Neurospora crassa OR74A: one gene and its partners. The protein of the gene in region 1 purifies or fractionates together with the protein of each later gene. This does not show direct contact. Links are inferred from orthologs where the notes say so. Each region holds a gene or a part of one and is shown on either strand. Other genes may lie near its edges.

Region 1 (4,116 bases):
CTCAAAAATACGAGCATAAACACAGACACGGGAATGACGCTTATCCATTCCGATTGATGGTATTAAGGGTTTGAGGGTCAGAGGGGGGTCAGGGAAGGATTGGAAGGACTGGAAGCGATCCTCAAATGCCCCTGTACCTTGGAAGGAACTTCTACACCTAGAACAGACAGACAGAACAGACAGACAGACAGACAAACAGACAGACAGACAGAGACGGAGAGAAAATGAGTGTCACTGCATGCCGTTCATGCATTGATTCGGAACGGAGATCCCGAAGTTCGAGACGACACACTTTTAGTAACCTGCTGCCTACACGTCCAGTCATTATAGTAGTCATTGCGACCGACAGCATCTTGAGTAAACCAACGTCGGAAACCCGAGAGCGATAATGCTGTTGGCCGCGATTCTAGGTCAGATGTATCCGCACAGATTAAAATGTTTCAGTTCACGATGGTGCATTATCCAACGAGAAGCTTCCGTGTAATTTCGCGCGCTCTTCTCTCTCTCTCTTTCTCTCTCTCTCTGTCTCTCTCTCTCTGACAGTGGATTAAATATTGTGGTTGTATTCATCAGGACAAATTCGGCGGTTTAACCGTTAAACTTGGCAACAAGCACGATTCTGCAGGAAGCTCAGCATACCTACCTAATAAACTGATCGTTCAGACACAACGTGATCACACAGCAGGAACCTCACTGCATTTCAGTTTTATGCCTACAAGCCAGAGAAGCGTTTCATACTTTGCAGAAGAACAACTGTGAGCCAAGAAAAGACAGAGTTGCAGTAGGTGTTCGTGGGGTTTCCTGGTTCGAGAAATCTAAGTGCCGGCCGAGTGGGATAGATATGACGCTCGTAATAGAACCAACGAACTGTTTGACCGTTTAGATCATGGGGTTTGAACATGTTTCCTCTCCTTGTCCGACATGTCTTCTGTGCTTCTCTTCTACCGTGTAGGTTGTTAAAGAGGTATGTCCCCCTTTCGGTGATTAGTTGCCTGTCCTCGCTTATCGCTTATCACTTATACAGATAACGCTTTGGCAGCCGTCGGACAACTGCCATGTACCGCCAAGGCCAGAACCTCGACAAACGCCAAGCCCTGCTCACCGCCCGTGGGGTCAGGCAGGCCTATGGAGGTAGCGGCGAACTGCCCCACCATAATCCGCCCGCCAATCGTCCCCGGGCCCCGATGCCCGTCCGCGCGGCGGTCCTGCCCTGAGCTTGCCAAGCAACTGCAGAGGCAGTTGTCCGTTTCAATGCCCGACGGGATCCACCAAGAGAGAGAGAGAGAGAGCCCCAGACAGCACCGAGTGGCCACCGACCGATGACCGAAGCGCATCACTTCCACTTGTGACTGAGCAACAACTACCACCACCCACCAATTACCCACAGCTGAACGACCTCTGAGCAGACACTACCCACGTCTTCGAACACCAAGACGGCGACGACCATTTCCTAGAAACAACACAACCTTTATACCCCTAGTCGGCTTCATAGCCGCCACATAATCAACAGCCATGGTTTTGCAAGATCTAGGTCGCCGCATCAATGCGGCCGTCAGTGACCTAACACGCGCCCCCAACCTCGACGAAAAGGTAAGCTTGGATATCTGTTCGGTTGTCTGGTCTTCCCCGGACTGCGTTTGGTTGATGCTGTCACATCCCCTAGCAGTCAGCCAGTCCAGATCGCTGACCATCGTATGATCAACAGGCCTTCGATGGCATGCTCAAGGAGATCTGCTCTGCCCTTCTCGAAGCCGATGTCAACGTCCGTCTCGTCGGTCAACTACGCAAATCGATCAAATCCACCGTCAACTTCAAAGAACTACCACCGGCCGTCAACAAGAAGCGATTGATCCAGAAAGCCGTCTTCGATGAACTCGTCCGTCTCGTCGACCCCCATGCCGAGCCCTTCAAGCCAAAGAAGGGCAAGTCCAACGTTATCATGTTTGTCGGTCTCCAGGGTGCTGGTAAGACGACAACATGTACAAAGCTCGCCAGACACTACCAGTCGCGCGGTTTCCGCGTCGGTCTTGTTTGCGCCGATACCTTCCGTGCCGGTGCTTTCGACCAGCTGAAGCAGAACGCGACCAAGGCCAAGATCCCCTACTACGGCAGTTTGACGGAAACAGATCCCGTCGTGGTGGCGCGCGATGGTGTGGACAAGTTCAAGAAGGAAAAGTTCGAGATCATCATCGTCGATACGTCGGGTCGTCACAGGCAAGAGGAGGCGCTCTTCCAGGAAATGATGGACATTCAGACGGCAGTCAAGCCAGACGAGACCATCATGGTGCTCGATGCCTCTATCGGTCAACAAGCCGAAGCCCAAGCCAAGGCCTTCAAGGAGGCTGCCGACTTTGGTGCCATTATCATCACCAAGACCGATGGCCACGCCGCGGGTGGTGGTGCCATCTCGGCCGTCGCTGCTACCCACACCCCCATCGTCTTCATCGGTACTGGTGAGCACATGCTCGATTTGGAGCGTTTCGTACCCAACAACTTCATCAGCAAACTCCTCGGCATGGGCGACATGGCTGGCCTCGTCGAGCACGTCCAGTCCCTCAAGCTCGACCAAAAGGACACCATCAAGCACATCACCGAGGGCATCTTCACCATCCGCGACCTGCGCGACCAGCTGCAGAACATCATGAAGATGGGTCCCCTCAGCAAGATGGCTGGCATGATCCCAGGAATGAGCAACATGATGCAGAACATGGACGACGAGGAGGGCTCGCTCAAGCTCAAGCGCATGATCTACATCTGCGACAGCATGACGGACAAGGAACTCGACAGCGACGGCAAAATCTTCATTGACCAACCGACGCGTATGACGCGTGTTGCCAGGGGTTCCGGCACGACGGTCAGAGAGGTCGAAGACCTGCTTACCCAGCAGCGCATGATGGCTGGCATGGCGAAGAAGATGGGCGGCAACATGAAGAACATGCAGCGTGCCCAGAGCGCCATGGGAGGCGGCAACAAGGCGCAACAGCTGGCTGCCATGCAGAAGCGTCTGCAGAGCATGGGCGGCGGTGGCCAAGATATGGGCGGCCTGATGAAGATGCTTGGCGGCATGGGCGGCGGTGGTGGTATGGGTGGGATGGACATGAATGCCATGATGAAACAAATGAGCGGGTTGATGGGAGGTGGCGGTGGACGTGGGAGGAGGTAAAAGGTTGAAGGAAAAAAAGAAAAAGAGGGTGTGTGTCAGTCGGTCGATCGACTTTTAATGGGTTCGGTTCTTTTTCTTGCTAATGCGTCGTCGTCGGTTCGTCCATTTCGTTCAATTCTTTTTCCATGGCAGTAGCAGCAGCAAAAGAGCTTGCATCATTCTGGCGTCTGGAGTATATACTGTAACAACACACAACGAATAACGGGAAACTTGACTTGGCTTGGGGACATGCGGTTGGATGATATAGCAAAACAGACCTGGAACTCTTTTTATTATTATCCACGATCTACCTTAATCATGACCATGACAGCGAGACCCGGAGACATTCTCAAATGCTGCTTCTAAGGCGACGTTCAATGTGACCGTTGTTTGGTATGAGGACGATGAGTGAGGGCCAGAGGCATTTGAACCCCGTGAACGCCTCAACCGCGTGGCACTTATTTCGGCGATCCTGCGATTAGTCTTACGTTGTTGTTCCTTTTTGACGCTTTTATATAAATTCATTCTGTCCCATTTCTTTGGTTCGTTATAGTTCGATATTTTTTTCGGCAACCGTCTGTCCTTTCCCCCTCGGTTGGTTTGCTTATGTCTGATTTCTTCATAGGGCTGGCAGTCAACCGAATCTTTGCACGGCAAGTGGTAAATATCCCTTGATATAATACGGACCAGGCGGCACAGTTCGGGATGTATAAATTCGAAAGTCGTGGCTGCTTCTACTGTAGTCAGTGTGGGCTTATGCACACTTCATAAACACATCCCACCAACCACCGGAAGCGTAAGATCAAGTGGTAAGGGGTGAGATAGGAGGGAGAAGAACCGAGATACCCCTGAGAAGAAATGATAGAAGGAGGACTTGACTCTGAATTTCGTTCGTTAAGTCCGGTTCAAGCGCCCATGTATCTATTCCATCGTCTAGTTCTTCAACATCTATCCCCTAAATCCCAATTTTAATG
Region 2 (3,503 bases), on another chromosome or scaffold:
CGCCGCATTATCTTTGAGGTGAATCTCAGTCTCGGATACCACGAATAACCTCTTCAAATACTCAGCTGTTGATAACAGAGTGGCGTGGTAGAGACTGTATTCGTTGATGGGTTCAGGATTCTGATGGACTGAGTGAGGCGCATGAGGGAAGGACTAACCAAGGTGATTAGCGATGGGGAAGTACCTAGACTCCCACGTAGGATAAAGAGGAAAGGTGTTGGTTATTGGCGGAACTTACCATCGCTCATTGTGCTCAAAGACAACCAGGAAGTGTTCGGTTGTTGTAGTTTATAGTAGGCTCCCCGACTACCACCCTAAAGTTCGACGAATAAAAAAAGTAACAGGTAACTGTGAAGTTATTGCAAACACAGAAGCCGAAAAAAGCCCCGTGAGAGCAGATCCCGTTTCGAGTAAACAAAAACGAAAACTTAAAAAAAAAATTTGGGGTAACAAGAGCATCATGATCCTTCTTATCATATACCTCTACCTCTCTAAAAAAAAAAAAAAAAAAAAAAAAAAAAACCTCGACGGGCGGTAGCGGACTGATTTACCTAGGCTGTTAGCTGGTCTCATCTATTTTGTTTCGGACGAGCCGGCCACGGGGCTTCGTTAAAAAGTACATGGTATTATCGTTTTGGTAAACTGCTTTCTGCGGTCTACGCTGTTTGTTGTTCATTATGTTATACGGCAAAGCGGGAAAAAGGCTTGCTGGCAGGTTGAATCTTTCTCAATCATGAGCATCGCTCTCAACTCCTTTCACATCTTCCCACCCCTAGACTTAGCACCCTATTTCTTTCCCTTCCCCTTCTTCTTCCCCGCCGCCTCACTTCCACTCGCCCCCGGACTCGTCGCACCACTACCTCCCATCCCACCCATCCCCCCCAACATATTCGCCAACCCACCCAATCCTCCCATCCCTCCCATCCCCTGCAACAAGCTCGCCATATCCGGCATCCCACCCGCTCCCGCTCCCGCTCCTCCTCCTGGCATCCCCGGCATGCCCGGCATCCCACCAGGTCCCATCTCCTTCATCATATCCTTCAAGAAATTCTCACTGACCCCACCGCCCGTCATCGCCGGACTATAGTACGGCAACAGCTCACTCATCTTCCACCCCCTCGGCACCGCCGGCCTCGGCCACTTCTTGCCTTCCTCCAGCATTTCTCTAGGCGGGGGTCCCGCGCCCCTCACCACGACCCTCAGCGCCGGACTCTCGTCCGTCGTCGGGTGTTTCTTCAGATGCTCCGCCACGAGGATATACAAGTGGTGTTTATTCTTCAGCTTCCCATTCTCGCCATGCAGACGGATGAATTCCTTCAGGTTGACTTTGACGCGGCCCGGGTTGGCCCAGTCCTTGGGGTGCAGCTTGCCTGCCTCGAGAACGACGGAGAGGCGGAGCTGCGCGCAGGCGTTGACGATCTCGGTCGCTAGCGGGTTGGGAACAGCTAGCTCCTTGGATACGCGCCGGCCTTCGGCGCGCGAGCGCGTGGCGTCAAAGTAGCATGGGTACAGGCACTGGAAGGATTTGTAGGCCGAGTCGTCGGTGGTGGTTTGCATCTGGGGGTAGCCGGGGGGTTGGGTGTACTGTCGTTGTTGTTGTTGTTGGGAATATTGTGGGGGAGGGACTTGTCGTTGTTGAGCGGCGGCGGCAGCCTGGGCGGCCTGGGCAGCTTGGAATTGTTGGTGTTGCTTTTCGGCCTGCGCGCGGTGGGCGGCGGAGAGAGGGGTGAAGGAGGGCCCGGGCATGACTTTGGAGGCGTAGGCGGGAGGAGCGTCGCGCTGGACGAGAATGTCGGATTCGGCAAAGTCGTCAATGTCGCCCTCGGAGGGGTCGGACATTTCAAGGTCGCTGTCCTCGACTTCTTCTACCCGCGGGTGGGAAGGCATCTTGGCGGTTGTCTGTGACTGAGACTGTAGCTCTTGATCTTTGCTCGGTGGGTAGGTATTTTGGTGAAGTCAAACTCTGAATGCGCAAATACAGCTGAGGCGACTAGGTCTGTGATAATTATGGCAGGGGGGGGGGGAAGTGGAAGGTCGCGGTGGTTGAACAGATGAACCAACAGCTCCCCGTGAGTTGTTGGAGAAATGTGGGGTGGCCCGTCCAAGCTGTCGATGTGGTTTCAATTGAGTTGAGTGGGGTAGCCGGCCGGGGGAAATAAAGTGGGGTCCGTGCACACGGCTCCGGGCCGGCAACGAATTAGCGGCACCAACCGCCAACCTCGAGTCAACTTCACCAAGCATTTTCATGTCCAGGTGATACTTTGCGTTCTTATGAATATGCTTTTTCCAAAATAAATCTTGTGTTGATGCGTGTCATCTGTACCTCGCCATGCATTTAGTCGTTCTAATATTTGGCACATTTCGGAAGTGATCTCGTCCAAGTGTACTTGGAACAGGTATGTACTAAGCTAACAAACAAACTAGATTGTATTTTGTACGTCATGTTCCTCCGCTGTTTAGCATCCGCAAACAACAAACAACTCAAACTATCTCCTAAATTCTGACTCCTGATTTGAATAGACTAGAGAAATGATCAGTTCGCAAAAGGCAACAGCCACAGCAAGCCCCTGAGCGTGAAATCCGTTTCTTGGTGCCTTTCATCTCAGATGCCTCCTATTCGGACAGCTCGCCATCGCATTCCCTTCGCTGAGAAAGCCTCCTCTTCGATAAATTTCTTTTCCCAAACTCTTTTTGAGGAAACCCCCTTCATCAGATGGGTCTTCACTCGCAGACGCCCATCTTCTCCACACCGCGTCAGAGCTCCCCTTAAAGCTACGTCGTTCCCTGTTTAAGAGAAGTAGTCATAGGTCTTTGTGCTTCTGTACTTCGTGCCGGGCGGGTGATCGGCATCCTCAAATTTGCAATAAGGATGAGTGCAGACACCGTCCTTGACGTTGGGGCACTGTGATTACGGTCAGCACATAACCAGAACTCGAGGCATGATGAGTGAAACTTACGTGGTGTCCATAAATACAATCTTCGACATCGCAATCCTGGCCGCTGGTGCAAGGGTTCAAGCGGGCCAAGAAGGCAATAGCGTCAATCTCTTCTTTGCTAGGCTTATACTTGTGTTCGAAGCAGCAGGCGTCGCCCTTTGAACAGGGACCCCTTAGATAATGATTGTTGCAAAGTTTGTTGTTGTCCTTCCTTTTCTTGATACTTTCCAGAGCAGCTGGTGAGACCTTGATGGGCGGGTCCAAGCCACGAGGACCGGGGTTCCAGGCCGGCTGCTTCGGGGTGGCCGAGGCACGAGCATTTGCGTTCACAGGTCTAGGCTGGATAGGAAGCGTGATCTTGGGCGGAGGGCTCGCGTTTCCAATAGCTCCGGCATAACTAGCAGTTGCGTTCGCGGGCGTAGACGTGGTGGAGCTGGTGGGAGTCGGAAGATTGCCGTTGCTGACAGTAGGAGTGGTGGTAGATGAAGATGACGTGGTAATCAAGGGAGAAGTGTTGGTGCGCAGTGATGTCTTGTCTACCAGCTTCTCCGATCGGAAGATTTCGTC
Region 3 (3,300 bases), on another chromosome or scaffold:
ACCATGTCTTCGTCTTGGTCAACGTCGTTGTCTTCGTCCGAGTTCAATCCCTCTAAGAGATCGTCCAAGCCATCGTCCTCTTCGTCCAGTTCGGAGACTTCATTTTCTTCCTCGTCTAGTTCGAATTCCTTCGTCTTCTTGGCCTCTTCCGCTTTCCTCCTTTTCGCCGCAAGCCACTCATCCGCTTCGGACTTCCGCTTCCTTTTCTCGGCTGTTTCGTCGTCTACGCCAGGAAGGCCTTCTAGTAGATCAAGAAGACCATCCTCCTGGAAGGACTTGGGAAGCGATTTGCGTCCCTTGATGCCGAGCTTCTTTTCGAGGTCTGCGATCTCCTTGTCGTCTTGCGCCAATCGTTCCATGACAGTTTTTGAGATTTTGGGCTGCGACTTCGATATGGTTTGTGTTGGGACATCACTTTCCTCTTCATCGTCCACGTCTTCGCCGTCTTTGTCGTCTTCTTCGTCGAGGTCTAGCTCATCGTCCTCGTCCTCGTCAAGATCGATATCGCCCTCGTCATCGAAATCCTCATCATCGTCCTCTTCGAGGGCAACATCTTCATCCTCATCCTCCAATGATCGTTTCTTCCCGTTCTTCAAGATGGGCTTGGGTTCCTTTGCTTCCTTTGACGATGCGGCATCGACCTTCTTCTGTGGTTTTGGGGCTGTAGCGCGCTCGGTATGGTAACTTCTTGTGGACGAGGTGCGGTGAATCCTTTTCTGTGTTCTCTCTGCTTTACGGCGATCCTTTCTAGACTGAAATTGATTCTTGCGACCTCCGTGAGATTGTCCTGCAAGAGTTAGGATTTCGTCGGAGAACCCTGATTGCCAGGCAGGAATGACAATGGCTGTATGGGCGCATGAACGGAGGCACGCTCACCTTCTACGCCGAGCTCCTTCAGGAGGTTGTCAGGCAATTTTGGAGCCTTTATCCTCATGGAGGGTGCCATGTTGTAATATGCGCGTGCGGAGGTGTAGATGTGATTGATTGGCACGACCTCCAAACTTTGCAAGGCTCTCTCGTCCGTCGCTGCATGGAAGAGCGCGGGATCGGGACCTTGCTATCGTTATCAGATAGTTTTTTTGGTTATCGGTCGGTGCAGGGTTCCAGGCATGTCGACTGCGGGGCCAAGAGCGCCAAGAGATGAAGCGGGTCCTCCGCTGCTTGGGACCCCACCCGGCTGGTTTTACGCTGGGGAAGCTCACTCCTACCAGACAGACGGGAGCTGCCCGGCCAACAGCAGTGGGGAAAGCTGCCACTCTCGTTGACTTTCATCAATCATTCTAGGTTGCCTTCACATTCACTCCTCAGCCGAATTGTTGTCTTGCCTTTTGCAAACGAGCATAAGAAGAAGACGAAAAACAACTGGATATCATGGGTCATTTAACTCACGATGAGGTAATGTTATATGTGACTGGCTGCTGTGATCCCGTCCTGAGGAGACCATGCTAATCTGACTTCAACCGACTATGGTATATAGTTCTTCTCCAAGCTCACCAATCTGTTCGAGTATAGGAAGAACCAAGATCACGGAACCATCAACCTAGTACAAAAGAGGCGTACGTGTACCTACACCAACCCAGCGCAGACAGGAAACTTCACACTCGGCTTTGCTATCGTCACGACAATCCTCCCAATTTCCGCTGTTTTCCAAGCTTAAACTCCATCTCCATCCACCCACGATGAGCTAAGTAGAGTGAAGCTCCGTCACCAAAGCTAACCCTCCCACAGTATCCTACAGCACCCCTTCCCAATCCACGGATACCGACCCTCTCACTGACCTCAACCCTGCCACCCCGCTCCCGGTTCTCATCCGCGCCACCAACGCCAAGGGCAAGGACAAGAGGACAGAAAAGGTCAAGCTGTCCACCATTGTCGAGCCAGCCGACCTGGAAACCTTCTACGGGAGGTACGCCGATGTTTGCAAGAAGGGCATGGGGGCATTGAAGCCGAGAGACAGGACCAAGAGGAAAAAGCAGTCGAGGAAGAAGAAGACAGGTCCTGCAGCCGCTGGAGGTCCTGGTGTTGGTGCTGGTGGGACTTCTATGATGGCTATTCCCTGATTGGACTCGAAACAAGCGTTGCAAATTACACCATTGCTGTTTCTGTCTTCTTGTGTGTACATGACCTAACGGAAGGAGGGATCTGTATGAGGGTACCGTATTAAATTTTGTAATATTCCCAAGCTTTGGTGGAATACCCTGGTTCAAGTCAGTGGGTACGCATGGTAAGGAAAGCGTTGGTGAGTAGTACCGCATCATAGCCTTCAATCTGCCACTCTCGGTTACCCTACCTCTCGACTCACCTGCTCGTAGTTGGTATTACCCTTCAAGACGACTAGCGAGAAAGGAAGGGAAGAAAAAAAAGGTGTTGGGAGAGGGGGGGAAGGGGGAATATGAAAAGCTCAGCTGCCTATCTAGCGTGCAGCGCACATCTACTATCTACGTGAGCTACTGGAGTTAATGAAAGGTGCGAACTAAAGGGATCATATGCCCGTTCTGGAGAATGTTCAGTCCTGCCGCAGGAAGTATGCGGCCCTTCGTGGAAATGGAGATGGAAGGGAAAGAGAGGAACATGAAATGAATGAGTGACGGAAGAAGCGTGAGAGAACGACTGCTGTGCCTCAACAGAGAAGCTGTTGAACGAAGGGGAGAGTAAGAGCGAGCCGAATTGATAACGTTCATATGCTTGTTCCAAATCTGCTGGCTGGCCTTCACGATCCTGTCTTGGGTGTGAACTTGATCACCGGGAGAGCGTGTATCTCCAGGTGACTCGATCTAAACGGTCCTATTAGCAAAGTTAACATTTCTCATTTGGTAAAATAACAAGACTGCCCGGGTGGAGCAGCAGCTACCGTACCCTGACGTCAAGCGTAGATATATTTGAGCCGCACTTATGAGCATCAGCTGAAGGGCAACCGGCTCACCCGTTCTCCACTCGATTCACCATTATGAAACACCACGAACACGTCACATCACGTTGGCTTCACCTTGATTGGCTTTGATTCAGGTTACCAAGAGTCGCAGTTCCAATGTTCGACCTTAATCCTAAGGTCAACCGAGATAATTGCATGTTCTCTTCAAGAGTACAGTCTAAAGGTGGGGGGATGTAGGTGAAACAAGATCAACTGTCCATTTTGAGGGTCCGAACCGTAAACAACTTGCTGAAAGAAAGGCCGAAGAGCCAAATGTCAGCCGCAAAAAGAGCAACAAGTTTCAGTGGGATTTACTTGTCCCATGTGCTAGAACTGGGCAAGGTAAAGCATGTCGCAAATTCAACTTCCTCAATCTCCTTCCTCCGACA

What was found.
Region 2: the proteins of NCU09696 (region 1) and NCU03485 purify together in Saccharomyces cerevisiae (affinity purification with mass spectrometry; 5 studies listed by BioGRID, with this or other methods). This does not show direct contact. The link is inferred for Neurospora crassa OR74A from reciprocal best matches to the Saccharomyces cerevisiae genes SRP54 and SEC65.
Region 3: the proteins of NCU09696 (region 1) and NCU02405 purify together in Saccharomyces cerevisiae (affinity purification with mass spectrometry; 4 studies listed by BioGRID). This does not show direct contact. The link is inferred for Neurospora crassa OR74A from reciprocal best matches to the Saccharomyces cerevisiae genes SRP54 and SRP14.

What each region holds. Positions count from the first base shown.
Region 1 is NC_026505.1:805,976-810,091, forward strand, and holds NCU09696 (signal recognition particle protein), read left to right. Parts: upstream 1-1,210; 5' UTR 1,211-1,512; coding exon 1,513-1,590; intron 1,591-1,705; coding exon 1,706-3,163; 3' UTR 3,164-3,693; downstream 3,694-4,116.
Region 2 is NC_026502.1:523,855-527,357, reverse strand, and holds NCU03485 (signal recognition particle sec65 subunit), read right to left. Parts: upstream 2,099-3,503; 5' UTR 1,888-2,098; coding exon 787-1,887; 3' UTR 523-786; downstream 1-522. Other genes in the region: NCU03486 (hypothetical protein), read right to left, coding at 2,789-2,902, 2,958-3,503. UniProt on the Saccharomyces cerevisiae protein: Signal-recognition-particle (SRP) assembly has a crucial role in targeting secretory proteins to the rough endoplasmic reticulum (ER) membrane.
Region 3 is NC_026507.1:2,612,538-2,615,837, forward strand, and holds NCU02405 (hypothetical protein), read left to right. Parts: upstream 1-1,217; 5' UTR 1,218-1,371; coding exon 1,372-1,395; intron 1,396-1,477; coding exon 1,478-1,556; intron 1,557-1,728; coding exon 1,729-2,060; 3' UTR 2,061-2,660; downstream 2,661-3,300. Other genes in the region: NCU02406 (nuclear protein), read right to left, coding at 1-787, 877-946. UniProt on the Saccharomyces cerevisiae protein: Component of the signal recognition particle (SRP) complex, a ribonucleoprotein complex that mediates the cotranslational targeting of secretory and membrane proteins to the endoplasmic reticulum (ER).